Anolis sagrei: one gene and its partners. The protein of the gene in region 2 purifies or fractionates together with the protein of the main gene of each other region. This does not show direct contact. Links are inferred from orthologs where the notes say so. Each region holds a gene or a part of one and is shown on either strand. Other genes may lie near its edges.

Region 1 (7,186 bases), on a different chromosome or scaffold from region 2:
AGGATAGTAGAGGCAAAGATGAAGTACTTTGGCCACATCATGAGAAGACAGGAAAGCTTAGAGAAGACAATTATGCTGGGGAAAATGGAAGGAAAAAGAAAGAGGGGCCGACCAAGGGCAAGATGGATGGATGGTATCCTTGAAGTGACTGGATTGACCTTGAAGGAGCTGGGGGTGGTGACGGCCGACAGAGAGCTCTGGCGTGGGCTGGTCCATGAGGTCACGAAGAGTCGGAAACGACTGAATGAACAACAACAAATCACTACTATTTTATTATTTAAAACATTTATATTCTGCCCTTCTCACCCAAAAGGGGACTCAGGGCGGAGCACAGCATATACATGGCAAACATTCAATGCCGGGACACAAATTCACATACAATACATAAACATTAAAAAACATTTATCAAAATATTAAAATACTCCATTTAAAACAGTCCTAGTCATCCGCATCAAATCTAATTGGCCTGGTCATATTTCCTATTGCCACTTTATTGCCCTGTCCCAAAAGCTTGGTCCCACAGCCAAGTTTTTACCATCTTTCTAAAGGACAGGATGGAGGGGGCCGACCTGATCTCACCAGGAAGGGAGTTCCATAGCCGGGGAGCAATCACCAAGAAGGCCCTGTCTCTTGTCCCCACCAATCATGCCTGTGACAATGGCGGGACGAAAAGCAGGGATTCCCCGGAGGATCTTAATCTCCACGATGGTTCATAGGGGGAGATGCGTTCGGACAGGTAAATTGGGCTGGGGCCGTTTAGGGCTTTATAGGCCAAAGTCAGCACTTTGAAATGTGCTCTGTAGCAAACTGGCAGCCAGTGGAGCTGGCATAACATGGGAGTTGTATGCTCCCTGTATGTCGCCCCAGTTATTAACCTGGCTGCCTCTCGTTGGACTATTTGAAGCTTCCGAGTAGTCTTCAAAGGCAACCCCACATAGAGTGCATTGCAATAGTTTATCCTAGACGTAACAAGAGCATGGACCACTGTGGCCAGTTTGACTTCCCAAAGTATGGGCGCAGCTGGCGCACAAGTTTTAATTGTACTATACTATACTATACTGTACTATACTGTGTGTGTGTGTGTGTGTGTATGCATATATATATATATATTACTATAATATTTATTTATTTATTTACATAATTTCTACCCCGCCCTTCTCACCCCCAAGGGGGGACTCAGGGCGGCTAACACAGGTAACAATTCAATGTCAACAATATCAATAACAACAATATAAACCAACAATATAAAATCCTATTATGTAACAATTAAACAGTGATATTAATTAAAATCACATAATCACATAGAACAAATCACATAATCACAGGTCATATAGCCGTTTCCAATTTTCATAACAATCCTATTGTCCAACTTCAGTGCCTAAAGTGCTGCTGTGCCCACTAGCCAAAGGCCTGGCTCCAACACCACGTCTTTAGTTTTTTCCCCTAAAATTAAGGCGGGAGGACGGCGATCTAATCTGGGAGAGCTGGGGAGCGAAATTCCACAAGCGGGGGGTCACTACCGAGAAGACCCTGTCCCTCGTCCCCACCGGACGCGTTTGAGACGCTGGTGGGACCGAGAACAGGGCCTCCCCAGTAGATCTTAAAGTATGAGGTGGAACGTAGAGAGAGATACATCCGGATAAGTAAGCTGGGCTGGAACAGTATAGGGTTTTATAGGCCAAGACCAGCACTTTGAATTGTGCTCGGAGGTAGATCGGCAGCCAGTGGAGCTGATGCAGCAGGGGGTGGTATGCTCCCTGTATATATAATTATAATATCATATTAGTAGTAGTATTATATTGCATCACATTATAATATTATAAATATTATATGTATATACATTATGTGTACAGAGGAGGGTGACTAAAATGATTAAGGGTCTGGAGAACAAGCCGTATGAGGCACGGCTTAAGGAGCTGGGCATGTTTAGCCTGAAGAAAAGAAGGCTGAGAGGAGATATGATAGCCATGTATAAATATGTGAGAGGAAGCCACAGGGAGGAGGGAGCAAGCTTGTTTTCTGCTTCCTTGGAGACTAGAACGCGGAACAATGGCTTCAAACTACAAGATAGGAGATTCCATCTGAACATGAGGAAGAACTTCCTGACCGTGAGAGCCATTCGGCAGTGGAACTCTCTGCCCCGGAGTGTGGTGGAGGCTCCTTCTTTGGAAGCTTTTAAACAGAGGCTGAATGGCCATCTGTCAGGGGTGATTTGAATGCAATATTCCTGCTTCTTGGCAGGGGGTTGGACTGGATGTGTAACATGCACAGATATCTATAAAAACAATTACAAAAACTCTAGATTGCAAATCACAATTTCAATGTTCCCAGAATTTCTACATTGAATGTAACATGAGAACATTCACACAATTATCTGTATGTTGCTGTGTTTCTTATTTAGTGAATTAAAACATCATAACACCTGATGAAGATATTGCGAAACAAGGGAAACAACCCGGGAGACCTTGTTGTGTGTCACTGTCACTGATGTTTATGGAAGAAGATCTTTCGACAACATAGAAAGTGTTATTTTGTGCCACTGTGCCTGACATTGTTTAACTGTTATTTTGGAAGCTCTAGTTTCACTGTATTGACAAAGTATTGATAAACCGTGTGTCACATCAGAGTTGTTTATGGAAGAAGAACTTTCGACAACATAGAAAGTCAGTTCTTGTGGGTTTTTTCGGGCTATATGGCCATGTTCTAGAGGCATTTCTCCTGACGTTTCGCCTGCATCTATGGCAAGCATCCTCAGAGGTGAGGTGCTTGCCATAGATGCAGGCGAAACGTCAGAAGAAATGCCTCTAGAACATGGCCATATAGCCCGAAAAAACCCACAAGAACTGAGTGATTCCAGCCATGAAAGCCTTCGACAACATAGAAAGTGTTATTTTGTGTCACTGTGCCTGACATTGTTTAATTGTTATTTTGGAAGCTCTAGTTTCACTGTGTTGACAAAGTATTGAAAATTATCTTCTATTTATAAACAGTCTTTAATTAATTGTGTGAATGTTCTCATGTTACATTCAATGTAAAAATTCTGGGAACATAGAAATTGTGATTTGCAATCTATAGTTTTTGTAATGGGTGGACTGGATGGCCCAGGAGGTCTCTTGCAACTCTTTTCAGTGGTTCTCAACCTGGGGTCCCCAGATGTTTTGGCCTTCAACTCCCAGAAATAGTAACAGCTGGTAAACTGGCTGGGATTTCTGCGAGTTGTAGGCCAAAACACTTGGGGACCCACAGGTTGAGAACCACTGCATGATTATATTATATTATATTACATTATACCACTGAGCCTTGGCAAGATAAGTGGTGCATTAATTCTACAGCAGGCATGGGCAAACTTCCGCCCTCCAAGTGTTCGGCTGTTGGGAATTGTAGTTCAAAACACTTGGAAGGGCGAAGTTTGCCCATGCTTGTTGTACAGCAGGGGTCCTCAAACTAAGGCCCGGGGGCCGGATATGGCCCTCCAAGGTCTTTTACCCGGCCCTCGCTCAGGGTCAACTTAAGTCTGAAATGACTTGAAAGCACACAACAACAACAACAATCCTATTCATCAGCCAAAAGCAGGCCCACACTTCCTATTGAAATACTAATAAGTTTATATTTGTTAAAATTGTTCTTCAATTTTAATTACTGTATTGTTTTTAAGTGGTTTTGCACCACAAATAAGATATGTGCAGTGTGCATAGGAATTAATTTTTTTTTTCAAATTATAATCCGGCCCTCCAACAGTTTGAGGGACTATGACCTGGCCCTCTGTTTAAAAAGTTTGGGGACCCCTGTTGTACAGGGTGAAATCCAGCTTCAAAGACATTCTTTCTCGTTAGATCCCGGCGCTAGGACCCAGGGGAACACTGCGTACAGCCGACCCAGGCTGCTTGTAACGGTGTGGTTGTGGGCGGAAGTAGGTCCGGCTGGCGTGTGGAGGAAGGGGGAGGTTGGACTTAGTGCGCGTGTGCGGAGGCTCGCGAGCACTGAGGCGAGTACGGGAGCCTAGAGGAGGATGGCTTTGGAGTGAGGGGAGGAGGAGGAGGCTGCTGCGCGTGCGGGGCGCGCAGTTTGGGCGGTTGGAGGCAGGGCGGAGTCCTGGTCGGCCTCTCTCTCTCTCTCTCTCTCTCTCTCTCTCTCTCTCTCTCTCCCCAGCTGCTGGGAGGAGGCGAAGGCGGAGGCGGCGCCGCCTTCCTTCCCTTCCTTACTTCCTTCCCTTCCTTGCCTTCTTCCTCCGGCGGGACTCTGCCCCTCCGGCTCCCCTCGACGTTGTGATTGGGCAGAAGATGGCGCCGCGCGGATGGAAATCCTAATGACAGTCTCCAAAATCGCCTCCATCTGTACCATGGTGAGCCTGGCCCGAGGGGGTCTTCGGGGGGAGCCTCCCTTCTTCCCCTCCCTTCGCCTCAGGAAGGCTGCTGTTGCTGAGGGGAGGCCCAGGAGGAGAGGGAGAAGGGCGGGCCAAAGCGGTGCCCAAACTGGACGCGAAAGTGGTGTCAAACTGCATTAAATCTACAGTGCAGATGCAGTTTGACACCACTTTCACTGCTTTGGGATCCGGGAAGTTGTCGTTTGGTGAGGCAGAAAAGGTTAAACAAATGATAATATTAATAATATGATAAAATAATAATAATATGACCTCTCTGCCTCTGAGGAGGCTTGCCATAGATGGAGGCAAAACGTCAGGAGAGAATGCCTCTAGAACATGGCCATATAGCCCAAAAAAACCTACAACAACCCAGTGATTCCGGCCATGAAAGCCTTCGACAATACAAATAATAATACTTATTTATTTACTAGCCGTCCCCTGCCATGCGTTGCTGTGGCCCAGTCTGTGTATATGTGTTTTGTGTATATATGTGTTTATACGTGTGTATATATTTGTGTATCTGTGTATATATGTGTTTTTGCATGTGTATATGTGTGTGTGAGTGTGGGTATGTATATGTATGTGCATATGTGTAGATGTGTATATATGTGTGTATATATATATGTGTGTGCTTGTCTATATGCATATTTGTGTGTGTGTGTACGTGTTGCTGTGGCCCAGTCTGTGCATATGTGTTTTGTGTATGTGTTTATACGTGTGTATCTGTGTATATATGTGTTTTTGCATGTGTATATGTGTGTGTCTATGTGGGTGTGTGTATATATGTGGGTGTAGATGTGTATATATGTGTGTATATAGTTGTGTGCTTATATGTGTATGTATATTGTGTATATGTGTGTGCTTGTCTATTTGCATATTTGTGTGTATATATGTATGTGTGAATGTATGTGTGCATATGTGTGTGTGTGTGTGTAGATGTGTATATATGTGTGTATATATTTGTGTGCTTATATGTGTATGTATATTGTATATATGTGTGTGCTTATCTATATGCATATTTGTATATATATACATATGTGTGTGTGCATGTGTATATGTATATATGTGTGCGTATTTGTGTCTGCTTGGGTATAAATAATAATAATAAGAAGAAGAAGAATAAATTTTATTTCTACCCCGCCACCATCTCCCCGATGGGGATGCGGAGCGGCTTACATGGGGCCAAGCCCGGACAATGTAATACAGCAATAAAATCAAAACATATACAACTGACAACAACATTATCAAAATGACATTAAAAATAATAAAATAATAAAATAAAAATTCCAATAGACACAATCACGATAGAGATGACAATGGGTGGGCCACATATTCCAAATAAAAAACAATTAACAGACTATGATGAGATAAAATAGGAGCAGGACGTTTAAATATACGTGTGTGTGTATGTATATATGTGTATGTAGATGTGTGTGTGTGCGCATTTGTGTCTGCTTGGGTATAAATATGCGTAGGTGTATGTATGTGCACATGTGTATATGTATATGAGTGTATAATAATAATAAACCTTTATTTGTACCCCGCTACCATCTCCCGAAGGACTTGGTGCGGCTTACACGAGGCCAAGCCCAAAATACAAAAATAAAACAACAATAATACAGCAAAATAAAACAAAAACAAGCAATAACATTAACAACACGCAATGATGCAGTTAAAAACAATGGCCGGGAACCATTGTATGTACATATATGTGTGTGTGATGTATTTGGGGGGGGGGGGGGTTAAGCCCATTCAGCTGGGTTTTTTTGTGTGTTTTTAGGGGTGATGAAGACTTGTTAGACAGTTAGGTGTATTGTGTCAAAATTTCATGTCAATTCGTCAAGTGGTTTCTGAGTTATGCTAATCCCACAAACGAACATTACATTTTTATTTACTTACTTACTGTATTTTCACCCCGCTCTATCTCAACCCTGAAGGGGACTCAGAGCGGCTCCCAAATTTGCAATATTTTAATGCCACAATAACATAAAAACATACAAGTTATATATATTGAGCATGAAAATCATGAAAATCATAAAATGCTAACACAATTGTGCTAGCAAGCACAATTCAAAGTACTGGCTTTAGCCTATAAAGTCCCTAAATGGTTCCAGCCTAGATTACCTAACCAAACGTATATCTCCCTATGAACCATCTAGGAGTTTAAGATCATCTGGGGAGGCCCTGCTCTCAGTCCCACCTTCTTCACAGGTGTGACTGGCAGGGACAAGAGACAGGGCCTTTTCATTAGTGGCCCCTCAGCTGTGGAATTCCCTCCCTAGGAATATTAGATTAGCCCCTTCCCTCCTGACCTTCCACAGAAAAGTGAAAACATGGCTTTTTGAATAAGCCTTTGGGAATCTAGTGCAATAGATAAACGTGGAACTATGTGAAATCGAATACTGGAACGGCTTAGATAACGTTTTTGGACGACGAGGCTAATAATGAAGGTAGTGGTTTTATATGTTTTTAAAGGTTTTAACGTATGTATTTTATAATTCTGTTTTAAATGTTTATTGTAATTTTTACATTGTTTTAATGGCATTGAATAGCTGCCTTTGTTATAAAGCTGCCTTGAGCCACCATCAGGTTCGAGAAAGGCGGGGAAGAAATATCGTAAATAAATAAACAAACAAACATATAAATACATTAAATATAGTAAGCTGTTAAAACAGTACATATAGACCCGGAATCATAATCCAGAAGCCATTCCAATCACATTGCATTCACTTCATAGCTGCATATAGCCCTGTACTACTCTCCAAATGCTTGATTCCATAGCTAAGTTTTAACTTGCTTTCTAAAGGACAGGACGAAGGGGGT
Region 2 (7,876 bases):
TATAATATAATATAATATAATATAATATAATATAATATAATATAATATAATAATATAATAATGCTATTATTATTATTATTATTTTACTGACACAAAAGCACAGTTTGTCACAGCAAACGAGATCTATATACTGGATTTCATATCAAAAAATCACAAGTTGAACACTTCCCAAGCGTCTAGGACTGTGCGATGTATTTTCGAATGATGCACACAGATCTATGATGCCCTGCCATTGTTTTTAATTGCGTCATTGTGTGTTGTTAATGTTATTGCTCTGTTTTTTGAGTTATTTTGTTGCTGTTGTTTTTACTGTTGTTGTTATTGTTTTTACTGTTGTATTTGGGCTCGGCCTCATGTAAGCCACACCGAGTTCTTCGGGAGATGGTAGCGGGGTACAAATAAAGGTTTATTATTATTATTATTAGGAATATTTTAAACAGAGGCTGTATGGCCATCTGTTAGGGGTGCTTTGATTGTGCTTTTCCTGCATACCAGAGGGTTGGACTAGATGGCCGATGTGGTTTCTCCCAACTCTATGATTCTGTAATAATTATTTTATTTTATTATAAGGGTTTTCTTTTACTTTTGATTATAATACATGTACTTGTGTATCCTGACCAGTGCTTTCGGGCTTCGGGGCACAGAGGGAGGAAAAGCTAACAAGCTGTTTTCCAGAAATTATATTAGGGTGTACAATTTTTTTGCTAGTCATCGTAAGTTGAATCAAATTCATTAAATTCATTTCTACGAGGTGATATCCGACACTTGGGCATGGCTTGCGCTAAAAATTTAAGAATCTAAACTTACCCAATGCTTTTACATTTGAATTTTGCAAACCTCAGAAGCCTTCCGAAGTCAGTTTCATTTTCAGTGCAAGGAAGCAACGCAAAGCCAAAAAGGCTGCCTTTCCTCTTTACATTAATGGTCTCCCCGCCATTGGGAGAGGGAAGCAGCAGGGAGAAAGCAGAGTTTGCTGGGAAAGAGACTGAGAAAGCACAGAACTCTGGAAAATGTAGTTTGGGATGGAGCCTTATGCCAGAGAATTCAAAAGGCCCTGCCCTAAACTACATTTCCCAGAATTCTGCTCAGCACCAGAAAGCCCCAATCAGGAGAGGGGAGAGATTTGTCCCTCCACAGCAGCAGCCAGCCAGTTTGAATGTATGGTTGAATTTGCAAAGAGGACTGACTGATACTTCTAGAAAGTAAATCTCTGTGCTGGGCTGGGAAGAAATCCCTAAATGAAAGTTCTATTGGTTCATATGAGAGACATTCAATGAGATAGCTGTTGGGACTTAAAAAATATTATTTTTTGTCAAAAATTAAAAAAATTCCCTAAAATCAGATGTATGAATATTTCCGAAAGTTGGGGGGAATGATCCCTGTTACCTTCTGTCATTGTGTAGAAAATTCAAGATCACTTTTGTAATTTTTTTTGTAATTGTTTAGACAAACTTTGAAAGTTCCCCAAAATCAGTGGATGAGTGAAACGTTCTGAAACTTGATGGGCCAAGAGTCGTATACCCCGCCCCGAGTCCCCTTTGGGGAGATGGTGGCAGAGTATAAATAAAATTATTATTATTATTATTATTATTATTATTATTATTATTATTATTATGTGTTCTGCTATTGTTGCATGTTTCACCCTGATCGCTGTAAAAACAAGGGAGAAAGTTTCCCCACTTGTGCAATTACTATAACGAAAAAGTAACGGAATTGCATTACAGTAACGGACCCGCGTTACAGTAATGAAATTTTCACATGATCACGCACCCCTACTAAGGCCACCTCTCTTCAGATCCACTGGGGAGGTTTGATTCTTACGGCCTGGCATGCATTTCCGTGTAAGAGTACAGTCAGTATCCTCAATTGCATGCCTTGTAGATTCAGCGACGTGAGCGAATTCAGCCCCGTCCCTATTGCGGCCTATTGGGCGCCTTTCCCTGCAAGAGTCGAGGAAGCGTCAGGGCGCGCGGGAAGAAGCCCTGGGCGGCGGGGGCGGGGCCTCTCCGGACAAGAGTCAAGGGCACGCGCGGCACCGTCAGGGGGCGTGGCGCTCTGAAAAAAGGGGCGGGGAAACCGAGCCGCCACGAAAAAGAGCGCTTTCTCTCACAGGAAGCAAAGCCTGACGGGAAATGCAGTTCGCGTTTGCCTCTGCCCTCATTCCAAAGCCAAGCCAGGGCACTACATTTCCCAGCATGCCTTTTTGTTCCGCTTTGGTCACGTTTTGTTTATCCCTCAGCCCATTTCACGAGGAGATGGCGTCACCGCGCCTTATGAATATGGGGATTTTTTAAAAAAGACAATGTCAATATGCCATAAGGGGGGGGAGGAGGCTTGGTGGGTGGGGCCTTGGAAGGGAAGGCGAAGAAGCGGCGGCGTTCTAAAGAGGAGCAAACAATCTCATGAATATTCATAAGTAGGGAGGGGGAAAGAGGAGAGGTTTGGCTTGGTGGGCGGGACCTTGGAAGGGATGGCGAAGAGGCGACGGCGTCGTTCTGAAGAGGAGGAGGAGCAAGCCAATCCTGTTTATGAATATTCATAAGGCGGGAGGGGAAGAGGAGGCTTGGAAGGGAAGGCGAAGAGGCGGTGGTGTTCTAAAGAGGAGGAGGAGGAGCAAGCATATCCTGATCATGAATATTCATAAGGGGGAGGGGAAAGGGAAGAGGAGAAACGGCTTGTTGAGCGAGGCCTTGGAAGAGAAGGCGGAGGCGTTCTAAAGAGGAGGAGCAAGCAAATCCTGTGTTATGAATATTCATAAGACGGGAGGGGGGAAGAGTAGAGCCTTGGCTTGGTGGGTGGGGCTTTGGAAGGGAAGGCGAAGAGGAGGCAGAGTAGATCTGAAGAGGAGGAGGAGCAAGCAAATCCTGTTCATAAGGAGGAAGAGTGTGGAGGCTTGGTGGGTGGGGCCTTGGAAGGGAAGGCGAAGCGGCGTTCTAAAGCGGAGGAGGAGCAAGCCAATCCTGTTTTATGAATATTCATAAGGCGGGAGGAGGGGGGAAGAGAGGAGAGTAGAGGCTTGGTGGGTGGGGCCTTGAAAGGGAAAGCGAAGAGGCGGTGGCGTTTTGAGGAGGAGGAGGAGCAAGCAAATCCTGTTTATTATTATTATTATTATTATTATTAACTTTATTTGTACCCCGCTAGCATCTCCCGAAGGACTCGATGCGGCTTACAAAGCCCAAGGCCTCAAAACATAACATAACAATACACAACCTAAAGCAAATCAAAAACAGTTAAAGCAATATAAACAACAAGCAATAAAACAATACACCAAGACACAATAAAACTGGGCCGGGCCAGAGTAAAGGGTACAGATTAAAAGTGCTGATGTGACAGGTGATATGTAAGGATTATAGGGTAAGTGCAGTGTGCTAGCAATCTTAATTTCTACTACAGTGCTTCTGGGACTTGTCGTTGGAGTTTTCCTATTCTGGAAAGGCACATCGGAACAGTCAGGTCTTCAAGTTCTTCCTAAAGACTGCCAACGTAGGGGCCTGTCTAAGATCTTTGGGGAGGGTGTTCCAGAGTCGGGGGGCCACCACAGAAAAGGCCCTGTCTTGCATCCCCACCTGACGCGCCTGCGACGCAGGCGGAATCGCGAGCAAGGCCTTTCCGGATGAACGAAGTGAGCACGTGGGTTCATAAACGGAGATGTGGTCACGCAGGTAGGATGGTCCCAAACCGTTTAGGGCTTTGTAGGTAAGCACCTGCACCTTAAAATGCGCTCGGAAAATAAACAGCAGCCAATGGAGCTCCTTGAACAGGAGGGTTGACCTCTGTCTGTAGGGAGCACCAGTTAACATCCTGGCCGCTGCCCGTTGGACCAGTTGAAATTTCCGAGCCGTTTTCAAGGGCAGCCCCATGTAGAGCGCATTACAGTAGTCCAATCTAGAGGTGACTAAGGCATGGACCACATTGGCCAGATCAGCCTTTGCGAGGTACGGTCGCAGTTGACGCACAAGTCTCAATTGTGCAAAAGCCCTCCCGGACACCGCCGACGCCTGAGCCAGGCTTCAGCCCCCCCCCCCCGAAATTCTCATGATGGTCCACAAAAAGGCCTTACTGGTGCATTATTTAAACTGTTATGTTTATTCATATCATGATCTGATCACTATACTCAATATATCCCACATGCATGGGGGTATTGGGGTAATGATACAAAAGATTTGCTAGGGTAGACCCTCTTTCACTCAGACTCAGCCCCCCCCCCCAAACAAACGCCCCCCCCCCAATGGAAATCCTGGCTACGGGCCTGGCCTGAGCCTCAAGCGTAAGCGATGAATCCAAGAGGACTCCCAAACTGCGGACCTGTGGCTTCAGGGGGAGTGCATATTCATAAGGTGGGTGGGGGGGAGAGTAGAGGCTTGGTGTGTGGAGACTTGGAAGGGAAGGCGAAGAGGAGGCGGTGGCGTTCTCAAGCGGAGGAGGAGCAAGCAAATCCTGTTTATGAATATTCATAAGGCAGAAGGAGGGGGGAAGAGAGGAGAGTTGAGGTTTGGTGGGTGGGGCCTTGGAAGCGAAGCGAAGAGGCGATGACGTTCTGAAGCTGAGGAGCAAGCTCCTCCTATTTATGAATATTCATAAGGAGGGAGGAGGAAGAGAGGAGAGTAGAGGCTTGGTGGGTGGGGCCTTGGAAGCGAAGCGAAGAGGCGATGACGTTCTGAAGCGGAGGAGGAGCAAGCAAATCCTGTTTTTATGAATATTCATAAGGCAAGGCGAGAGGAGGGGGGAAGAGAGGAGAGTAGAGGCTTGGTGGGTGGGGCCTTGAAAAGGAAAGGCGAAGAGGGTTTTATGAATATTCATAAGGCGGGAGGAGGGAGGGGGAAGAGAGGAGAGGCTTGGCTTAGTGGGTGGGGCCTTGGAAGGGAAGGCGAAGCGGAGGAGGAGGCGGAGGCGCGCGCTTGCCTGCCTCTCCCGCCCAGTCCAGTCAGCGGCTAATGGCGCGCGCGGCGAGGCTGAGCCGGATGGAACGCGGAGGAGACAGCGGCGGAATGTTCGCCATGGCGACCTAATCCCTCCCCTTCGCCTCCTTTCTTCGGAACGTTCGCTAACCCATCCTAATGGAACCTGCGCAGCAGCAGCAGCAACAACCAGAAGGAGACGGGAGCGCCATGGGCCTTGAAGGAGCCCAACAGAGGCGACGCAAGCGCGGGGGAGCGGCCGCCGTTGCCGCCGCCAAGGGGACGCCGGGGACGACTCCTTCTTCTGCCTCCTCGGCTTCCCTGGCTTCGTCCAACGGGGCCAACTCGCTCCTGGTGAGGCGAGGCCGCCTCAAGAGGAACCTCTCCTCCGCCGCCTCGCCCTCGCTGCTTCCTCCTCCTCCGGCTGCTCCTCCGGCCTCGCGCAGCCTGGACCGGAAGGCGCTTCTCCTTCTCCCGAAGCCCCCGCGGCAGGTCCAGCCTCTGCAGGCGCCGGAGCGGGACTGGGTGCGGCGGGACCTCCGCCGGGGCTGCGTCCATGTCTACTACTCCAACCACCACCATCACCACCACCACCACCACTGCTACCTGCTGCCGGTGCTGTGCACCTTGGAGACCACCGCGGGGCAAGTGGCAGCCAGGCTGCAGCAGCAGCAGCAGAGGAGGGCAGGAGGAGGGGCTCTCCGCGTCTTGGGCCAAGAAGAGGGCCAAGGAGAAGCCGAGGAGGCCCATCTCGAAGGAGAAGACGAAGAGGAGGAGGAGGGGAAGGCCTCCATCTACCTGTCGGGCCCGCCGATCTCCTGCCCGTCCCTCGCCGGCGGCTCCGACTCGGAGGGCTTCAGCCCTAGCGCCGAGGGAGAAGAAGGAGGAGGAGGAGAAGAAGAAGGCTTTTCCTCCTCCTCTTCTTCCTCTTCCTCCTCCTCGGCGTCTTCCTTGGAGGACTTGGAGGCCGAGGAGCCCAGGAGGAGGAGGAGGAGGCGGAAGAAGAAGGAGGCCATGGAGGAGGAAGGAGAGGAAGAAGAAGATGAAGAAGGCGCCCCCTCTGCTGCTCCTGCTACTACGACGACGACGACTACTAAGGCCGCGGCTTCCTCGCCTTCAGCAGCAACGCCTCCTCTTCTTCCTCCTCCTCCGTCCCCGCCGCCGCCCCCCCTGGGCCTCTACGTCCAGCTCCACGGGGAGACCGCGAGGCGCCTTTCCCCCGCCGAGAAGCCCCTGCGCCTCCAAAGCGACTACCTCGCGCAGCTGGGCTTCCGCGACCCCTGGCGCGCGCAGGAGGAGGGCATGGACTCCGAGACCGGCTGCCTCATCCGCTTCTACGCAGGTAGCTCGCCGGCTAAGTGGGTGGGTAGGTGGGTGAGTGGGTGGGGGATCTGGCTGGCCCTCTGCCGGGAGGGATTGGGTAGTGCCTGCTCGCCTCCCTTTGAATCTCCCTGCCTTCGTGCTGTGTGTGGCTTCTCAGGCCCCTTCTGCACTGCCATATACAGTCCAGGTGATCTGCTTTGAACTGGATTCTATGGCACTGTAGATGTGCATTATCTGCTTTGGTAATCTGGGTTCTATGGCAGTCTAGATGTCCATTATCTTTGGTAGACTGGGTTCTATGTCAGTCCAGATGTGCATTATCTTTGGTAATCTGGGTTCTGTGTCAGTCTAGATGTGGATTATCTGCTTTGGTAATCTGGGTTCTATGTCAGTCTAGATGTGCATTATCATTGTTGGTAGTCTGGGTTCTATGTCAGTCTAGATGCACATTATCTTTGGTAGACTGGGTTCTATGCCAGTCTAGAAGTGGATTATCTTAGGTAGACTGGGTTCTGTGTCATTCTAGATGTGGACTATCTGCTTTGGTAGTCTGGGTTCTATGTCAGTCTAGATGTGGGTTATCTTCTTTGGTAATCTGGGTTCTATGTCAGTCTAGATGTGCATTATCTACATTGATAGTCTGGGTTCTGTGTCAGTCTAGATGTGGATTATCTGCTTAGGTAATCTGGGTTCTATGGCAGTCTAGATGTGCATTATCTTTGGTAGACTGGGTTCTGTGTCAGTCTAGATGTGGATTATCTGTTTTGGTAATCTGGGTTCTGTGTCAGTCTAGATGGGCATTATCTTTGGTAGACTGGGTTCTATGTCAGTCTAGATGTGGATTATCTGCTTTGGTAATCTGGGTTCTATGTCAGTCTAGATGTGCATTATCTTCATTGGTAGTCTGGGTTCTCTGTCAGTCTAGATGTGGTAATCTGGGTTCTCTGTCAGTCTAGATGTGCATTATCTTCGTTGGCAGTCTGGGTTCTATGTCAGTCTAGATGTGGACTATCTGCTTTGGTAATCTGGGTTCTATGTCAGTCTTGATGTGGATTATCTTCTTTGGTAATCTAGATTCTATGGCAGTCTTGATGTGGACTTTATGGCAGTGTAGACTATCTGGATTATATGGAAGTATTGAATAGTATTAGTAATGATGATAATAATATTTTTATTATGTGTCAGTAAAATAATAATAATGTATTGCCGAAGGCTTTCATGGCCGGAATCACTGAGTTTTCCTGGCTGTATGGCCTATTATATCAGACATAAAGGTAAAGGTTTTCCCCTGACATTAAGTCCAGTCGTGTCCAACTCTGGGGGGTGGTGCTCATTTCCATTTCTAAACCGAAGAGCCGGCCCTATCCATAGACACTTCCAAGGTCATGCGGCTGGCATGACTGCATGGAGCACCAGTACCTTTCCGCAGAAGTGGTATCGATCTCCTCACATTTGCATGTTTTTGAACTGCTAGGTTGGCAGAAGCTGGTGCGAACAGCGGGGAGCACCCCCTGCTCCCCGGATTTGAACCGCCAACCTTTTTGTCAGCAATTTCAGCAGCTCAGCGGTTTAACCTACTGCGCCACCGGGAGCTCCCATGGCAGTGTAGATGTGGATTATCTGCTTTGAAAAATCTGGATTATATGGCAGTGCAG
Region 3 (7,332 bases), on a different chromosome or scaffold from region 2:
ACACAGTTTGGGAACCTCTGCTCTACAATGTTAAAGAACTTTCTTAAAACCTTAACTTAACCACCTGCTTCGCCATATGCTTGGGTGCACAGAAACATTTTAACTGCTTTTTGAAGGGGGCAACGAGAGGGCCATTTTGATTTCCTTCAGAAGGGAATTCCAGAAGTAGGGGGCAAATGCAGAGAAAGCCCTCTCTCTTGTACCCAACAGCCGGATTTGAGGCAGGAGCGCCTCCCCTGATCGCAGTGTCTGGACAGGTTTGTATAAAGAGAGGTGGTTGGCCAAACACTCTGGACCCAAATAATTTAGGGCTTTAAAAGTAACAACCAGTATTTTAAATTTCACCCAGTAGCAAACTGGGAGCCAGTGGAGCTGCTGCAGCAAGCAAGTTGTTTGCTCCCTGTACAGTGCTCCGGTTAGTAACCTAGCAGCCGACCTTTGCAGCAGCTGAAGCTTCTGAGCACTCTTCAAAGGCAGCCCCACATAAAGCGCGTTGCAGTAGTTCAGTCAAGATGTAGCTAGGGAATACACTACCATGGCCAAATCTGGCGTCTCAAGGTACGTGCGCAGCTGGCACACAAGTTTTAATTGTGCAAAGGTGCTCCTGGCCACTGATGACACCTGGGGCACCCCCACGCTGTGTACCTTGCCTCAAGGGGGAGTGTAACCCCATCCAGCACAGGCTGTATCCCTATACCCTGAGCTGCCTTGCAACTGACCAAAAGCACCTCTGTCTTGTCAGGATTTAATTCTAATCTATTCACCCTCATCCAGTCTATTACAGTATATAGGTACCAGTTCAGGATGAGAACAGGATTCTTGGCTGGTTTTAAACAATATCTATATATAAATGTTGTTTTTAAAGGACTAAATAGTCTTGTAAACTGGTTATTTATTTATGTTTACATTATTATGCTATTTTGTTTTTAATAAGTGATATGTGATGATATGTGATTATTGCCTATGTTATATCATTGACTGTATTTGTTTGTTCTTACTGTAAGTCGCCTTAAGTCTCTTCGGCACAAGGGGGCAGGATATAAAAATATTATTTTGGTGGAAAGGGGTAATGAAGTTGGGTATCATCTGCATTAACTCCAAAACTCTGGATGATCTCTCCCAGTGATTTCATGTAGATATTAAATAGCATGGGTGACAGAATACCTGAAAGCAATGGATTCAAATAATCAGAAAGAAAATTCCAAGGAAACATTGGGGACCCTTCTACACAGCCATATAACCCAGAATATCAAGGCAGAAAATCCCACAATAGCTGCTTTGAATTGGGTTATCTAAGTCCACACTGCCATATATTCCAGCCCAAAGCAGGTATTTTGGGATTTCCTGCCTTGATATTCTGCATTACATGGCTGTGTAGATGGGCCCTGAGTCCACACTGTCATATATTTCAGTTCAATGCTGGTGTGGGATTTTATACAGCTGTGTGGAGGGGAATAAAAATGCGGATAGTGGGAATTGTTTTGACTATGGAATATGCTGCCGCCTCCAAGACAGTAGTCTCCTTCCTTGGAGGCTTTGAAGCACAGGCTGGGTGGCCATCTATTTATTTATTTACGACATTTATATGCCGCCCTTCTCACCCTGAAGGGGACTCAGAGTGGCTTACTATATACATACATTATATTATTACCATAGTACAATATCAGTGTTATATATTACTATATTACACTTACCCTATAATCCTTACATATCACCTGTCACATCAGCACTTGGTGTATTGTTTATTGCTTGTTGTTTAATTTTGCTTTAACTGCTTTAATTTTTTAAATTGCTTTAGGTTGTGTATTGTTATGTTGTGTTTGAGGCCTTGGCCTTTGTAAGCCGCATCGGGTCCTTCGGGAGATGCTAGCGGGGTACAAATAAAGGTAATAATAATAATAATAATATATTGATGTATTTTGTTATTGTGTGTTTATTATGCTGTATTATTTTGGGCTTGGCCTCATGTTAGCCGCCCCGAGTACCCTTTGGAGAGATGGTGGCGGGTTATGAATAAAGTGTATTATTATTATTATTATTATTACATTGTACTATACCATTATATTGTAATATTATTTGTAATATTACATGCAATAGAAAATATATAATTATAATATATTATTATTAGTATTATACTGTATTACATTATAATATTATAAATATTATATGTATATACAATATTCATCTATCATGGATGGTTTGTACTTTTCCTGTATGGCAGGGGGTTTGGTCTGGATGGCCCTTGGGGTCTCTTCCAACTTTATGATTCTACACACTATGGACCCTTCCACAGAGTCCTATATCCCAAAATATCAAGGCAAAAAATCCCACAATATCTGCTTTGAACTGGGTTAACAGAATCCACACTGCCATATATTCCAGTTCAAAGGAGATAATGTGGGGTTTTCTGCCTTGACATTCTGGGATATGGGGCTGTGTGGAAGGGCCCTCCAATATAGGAACAGCTATCCCACATCTGGTGAACTGAGCTTTTGTTCAGGAAATGTCAGGCCGTGAGGGAAGCGGGAAGTCGCCACTGTACTACATGATTCTGTTTCGGGAGAGATATAGTTTTGGCCAGCTGAGAGGGAAAACAAACCAAAAAGCAGGGAGACCCGTGTGGCAAGAATGGAAGCTCCCCTTCCTACCTGCACGGCGCCCGCGGGGTCTTTCTCGACGTCGCACTCCGTCAGCCTGCGGAGAAAAGCGAGAGTTAGGCCCGAACGCGGAGGAGGAGCGGGGTGAAGGGGTGGGGGGTTGAGGGCTCACCACGAGACTCCCATTCCTGCCGCCTCCGCCATCATGGCCCCGCCGAGGAAACTTCTAGAGCGCGAAGATTTTGTTTCTTTCCGCTGTCGCGCGCGCCCTGTGACGTTGGAAAAGGCGGTGCCGGCGCGGCCTTTATACGTCAGCAAGAGTCCTCTCGCGGAGGGCGGCGGAGGAGTCAACATTCGATGGGGGGCGGAGCCTCCACGGCAGAGGGCCCGCCTCCCGGCGTCAATCATCTTCCAAAACAAGAGGGAAGTTCAATGTACTGTATTGTCGAAGGCTTTCATGGCTGGAATCACTAGGTTCTTGTGGGTTTCTTCGGGCTATAGGGCCATGTTCTAGAGGCATTTCTCCTGACGTTTCGCCTGCATCTATGGCAAGCATCCTCAGAGGCAGTGAGGTCTGTTGGAATTAGGACAATGGGTTTATATATCTGTGGAATGGCTGGGGTGGGGCACAGAGCTCTCTGCTAACAGGTTGCTAACAGGTTGCTAACAGGAGCGGCACTCAGGGAGCATACTACTCTCTTGCACCAGCTCCACTGGCTGCCAGTTTGCAACCGGGCACAATTCAAAGTGCTGGCGTTAGCCTATAAAGCCCTAAACGGTTCTGGCACTACTTACCTCTCCAAACGCATCTCCTCCTATGAACCAACTAAGACATTAAGATCATCTGGGAGTATTTCCAGGTGGAATGCTCTAAGGATCAGAAGGTAGAACTGTTGCTTTCTTTTTCTGACTCTATAGTGGATTTTCCAGTGCAGGAAAATAAAGATGAAACAGGAGTGAAGTAATGAGGAAAAAGTACAAACAGAGGGGTGTATCTTCTGAAATCCCCTTAAATTTCTATGAACGACACATCGTAATCGTGAAACCATTAATAATCCATCAAAGGAAGGCAATACAGAATAGCTGAAGAAATGTTCAAAAGTTGTTGACACTACACAGTTAATAGCACTGTGATTTTATTTGAACAACCATGTTTCCCTCCTATGGATTTATGGGATTTGTAGTGTACAGGAGGGCATTTTCAATTCTCACCAGAATGCTCCAGACTTCAAAGCCCATGATTCCATAGGATGTTACCATGACAATTAAGGTGGAATATAGAACTTGCACTGCATAGTATGAATTAGGCCCTAAATGTTGCCTCCAGCCTGTGGAGATCTTAACAGTGGGTTTATGGTGAGATTAGGTGAGCCCCCACCTTAGAGAGTTTTAAGAAAAATCTCAAAACCTGGCTCTTCCACTGTGATTTTGGAGATTAACCATTAACTCATATGCCCATTAACCCTCAATATCCATTTTTAGTGCATATGAAGGTCCTTTTCGACCCCATCTTGGAAGAGTTCCTCCCTCATAAAAATAATCCACTCCACTGCTGTCTCACCTCCTGTTTTTTATCCTTAATATTTTATTCAGGACATGCGGCCCACTCATTGTTTTATGAATGATTTTATTGTAATTTTATATAGTTATGTTTTATGTTAATCATTGTGTTCTTGTTTATGTTTTTGATTTCATTTATTTTATTGCATTGGTGGGCTTGGCCTCATGTAAGCTGCCCCGAGTCCCCATTGGAGAGATGGTGGCAGGGAATAAATAAAGTTTATTATCATGATTTATTATTGCTATTTCAATTGTTGTGTGTGATAGAAGTAACTATTTCCATTTTCAGTTCGTTTCAAAATGTTAAAGGAGCAGCAAAGAAAACTTGTTGCTCTATCTTGGCACTGATTTAGGGAAATCCTAAATTAGGGACAGGACAACGATTATGTTGTCCAGTTACAATTATGCTGTATTTTCTCCATTGGCGGCTATCACATACACTGAAGACAGAACAAAGGTCTTCGGTGAGGAGAGTCCAGGTCTCTTGAGTTGTGCTACAAATGTCAACAAAATAAAGAGGTGTGCTCTGTTTCTCCATTTTCTGTAAGTATAGAAAGCAAGATGTCACATTCCTCAAGACCACTTCCTCTCTTCTGTAAAACTTGCTCACACGCAATCTGATAAAAGGCAGGTGCTGAAGTTCGTTCATACATGTGATAGCGGGAAGGATCCACAGGGCCAGTGTGAAAGAGAAGAATTACAGTTATGCTGTTGTCTGTAACTAGTTTCCTTGTAGGTAATGGGTGTAAACAAGACACATTTCGCAAGTAATCTAACTTACATGAACCAAGTAGTCCCTATATAAGAATCAAGTTCCCTTTCCGGTTGAATGAGTAACAATTTCTACTTAATTTCAAGTGTTACTTGTAAAGGGCTATTTTAGGCATTTCTCAGGAATCTTTCCAGCGTTACCCCATTCTCTTATCAATTCTAAGTGTTTCCCCTGAAAAACGGCACACGTTAAAGTAGTAATGGGTAGGAATACAAACTAACATCCTCATCATCCATCTCCTACACTAGTTGTTTTCATCATTAAAACAAGTTTTTGCCACATGTTACCTTTAAAACACAGTAAGACAAGATAAAGATTTCCCCTGACATGTCTAGTCATGTCTGACTCTGGGGAGTGGAGCTCATCTCCATTTCTAAGCCAAAGAGCGGGCATTGTCTGCAGACATCTCCAAGGTCATGTGGCCAGCATGACTGCATGGAGTGCCATTACTTTCCTGCAGAAGCGGTACCTATTGATCTACTCACATTTGCATGTTTTCGAACTACTAGTTTGGCAGAAGCTGGGGCTGATAGCAGAAGCTCACCCCATTCCCCGGATTTGAATCGCCAACTTTTCCGTCAGCAAGTTCAGCAGCTCAGCGGTTTAACTCGCTGCGTCACCAGGGGGCCCGAGAGTAAGACATAATTATTATTTTTAAAATGCTTCTAAAGCTTTACGCAGAACAACTAAAAGCAGAGATTGTGTCTAGCTGTGCTGCCAATCCTGGATTCTCAACTGTAGTTGTGAATCTTGGTTTTGGCTGATAAAATTCAGATTAAAGGTCAATAGACTTTCATTTTTTAAAAATCTATATCAAGAATTAAGTGCAAGAGAAAAGGGTTCTAATCTAGTTTTCTATCCATAGTGCTTGTTTTTTTGTTTTTGTTTTCTACATGCAGGCAATTTCCTTCATACTGCATGCAAGGACATTCAGTCATGAGGGGCATCGATAGCATAGAAGAATACAGATCAGCTACAGCTTGCTTACTTTGTGAGAACCAGATCTCAGTACTTTTCCTATACAAACATCAAGCTTTTCAGTGATGTAAATTGTTTTGATTAAATTTATTTATGTGGTCATGAACATTTATTTATGTGGTCATGAACAATATTAATTATGGGAGGAAATATTCTCTCATTTACAGTTTTATTGAAACTCTGTGTATGCATCTGTATACATGTTTTTTATCATTTCAGAAGTAAATTGAGAATATATTGCAAGTCACTTCTGGTGTGAGAGAATCGGCTGCCTACAGAGATGTTGCCCACGGGACACCCGGATATGTTACCATCCTGTGGGAGGCTTCTCTCATGTCCCCACATGAGAAGCTGGGGCTGACAGACAGGAGCTCACCCCATCTCACTGATTCAAACCACTGACCTTCAGGTCAGCAGTTCAGCCGGCACAAAGATTTAATCCATTGCGCCACTACGGCTCCTTATACACATATATAAGAATGGCCATACAGATGCTGTTGGGAATACAACTCCCAGACCTAGCCAGTATAGACATGGGTGAGGAATTATGGGAATTGCAGCAGAACAGCACCTGCAGGGCCACATGATTCCTTCCCCAGATGTTTATGCCCATCACAGACAACTTATCAAAACTTTTCATACCTGTTTATCAACCCAAACTCAGAACTTACCAATAGAGAAATTCAAATATTCAGCTTAGACTCACAAAAGTGTGAATGCTCAAATGATAGCAACCAGTTACACACACCAAAAACAGCACATAATTCATTGTAAAGGGTAGGGCTTTACATGCAGTTGAACATGTTCATTATTATTGCTACAGCTTATAAGACGTTCATATTAAAATTGATTGTCTTATGATTTTCTTTCTTCCCTGTGGAAATGAATCAATTCAGACAATGGTATACTGTTATTAGACCAAGTAGTGAGATTTATAAATGCATCACACTGTACAAACTGACACATCGCCATTGAAATGGGATTTTTCTTATCAAATTATTGTTGCACAGGCATCTTGCCAAAGCCATGATAAGCAGAAGGAAATTCACCATATCCAGTCTGCAAAAAGAATCCTGTTTCTCTTCTAATGAGCAACTAACATTTTAATTCAATTTGTGTTAAAAAAATATTACATGCACAGTTTAACTTGTAAGCAAAATTATACTCAGCTTCACAATTCATTGAGAGGAATGTTCCACAAATAATCAAAGGGTGCCAACCTGAGAAAACATGCGTAGCCCTGATCATTTTTATTTTACTTCTGGGCCACTTGCCACAAATAATTTGTGTAAAAGCTAGAAGCATATTAAAGCAAATCCCAGCAGCATCATTTTCACTTAGTGCACATGGTTGAAGAATGCAGACATGAAAAAAATAGCTAGTTGCTGACTTCAGCCCCAGCAAATATAGCTGCCTAAGAGACTG

The links. The genes of interacting proteins can lie anywhere in the genome.
Region 1: the proteins of PHLPP1 (region 2) and USP12 purify together in Homo sapiens (affinity purification with mass spectrometry; 4 studies listed by BioGRID and IntAct, with this or other methods). This does not show direct contact. The link is inferred for Anolis sagrei from reciprocal best matches to the Homo sapiens genes PHLPP1 and USP12.
Region 3: the proteins of PHLPP1 (region 2) and SUGT1 purify together in Homo sapiens (affinity purification with mass spectrometry; 5 studies listed by BioGRID and IntAct, with this or other methods). This does not show direct contact. The link is inferred for Anolis sagrei from reciprocal best matches to the Homo sapiens genes PHLPP1 and SUGT1.

Annotation. Positions count from the first base shown.
Region 1 is NC_090023.1:30,892,560-30,899,745, reverse strand, and holds the start of USP12 (ubiquitin carboxyl-terminal hydrolase 12), read left to right. Parts: upstream 1-4,174; 5' UTR 4,175-4,294; coding exon 4,295-4,342; intron 4,343-7,186. UniProt on the Homo sapiens protein: Deubiquitinating enzyme that plays various roles in the regulation of the immune response and inflammation.
Region 2 is NC_090024.1:89,984,047-89,991,922, reverse strand, and holds the start of PHLPP1 (PH domain leucine-rich repeat-containing protein phosphatase 1), read left to right. Parts: upstream 1-4,864; 5' UTR 4,865-5,057; coding exon 5,058-6,240; intron 6,241-7,876. UniProt on the Homo sapiens protein: Protein phosphatase involved in regulation of Akt and PKC signaling.
Region 3 is NC_090023.1:141,080,243-141,087,574, forward strand, and holds the start of SUGT1 (protein SGT1 homolog), read right to left. Parts: upstream 3,013-7,332; 5' UTR 3,006-3,012; coding exon 2,770-3,005; intron 2,695-2,769; coding exon 2,649-2,694; intron 1-2,648. UniProt on the Homo sapiens protein: May play a role in ubiquitination and subsequent proteasomal degradation of target proteins.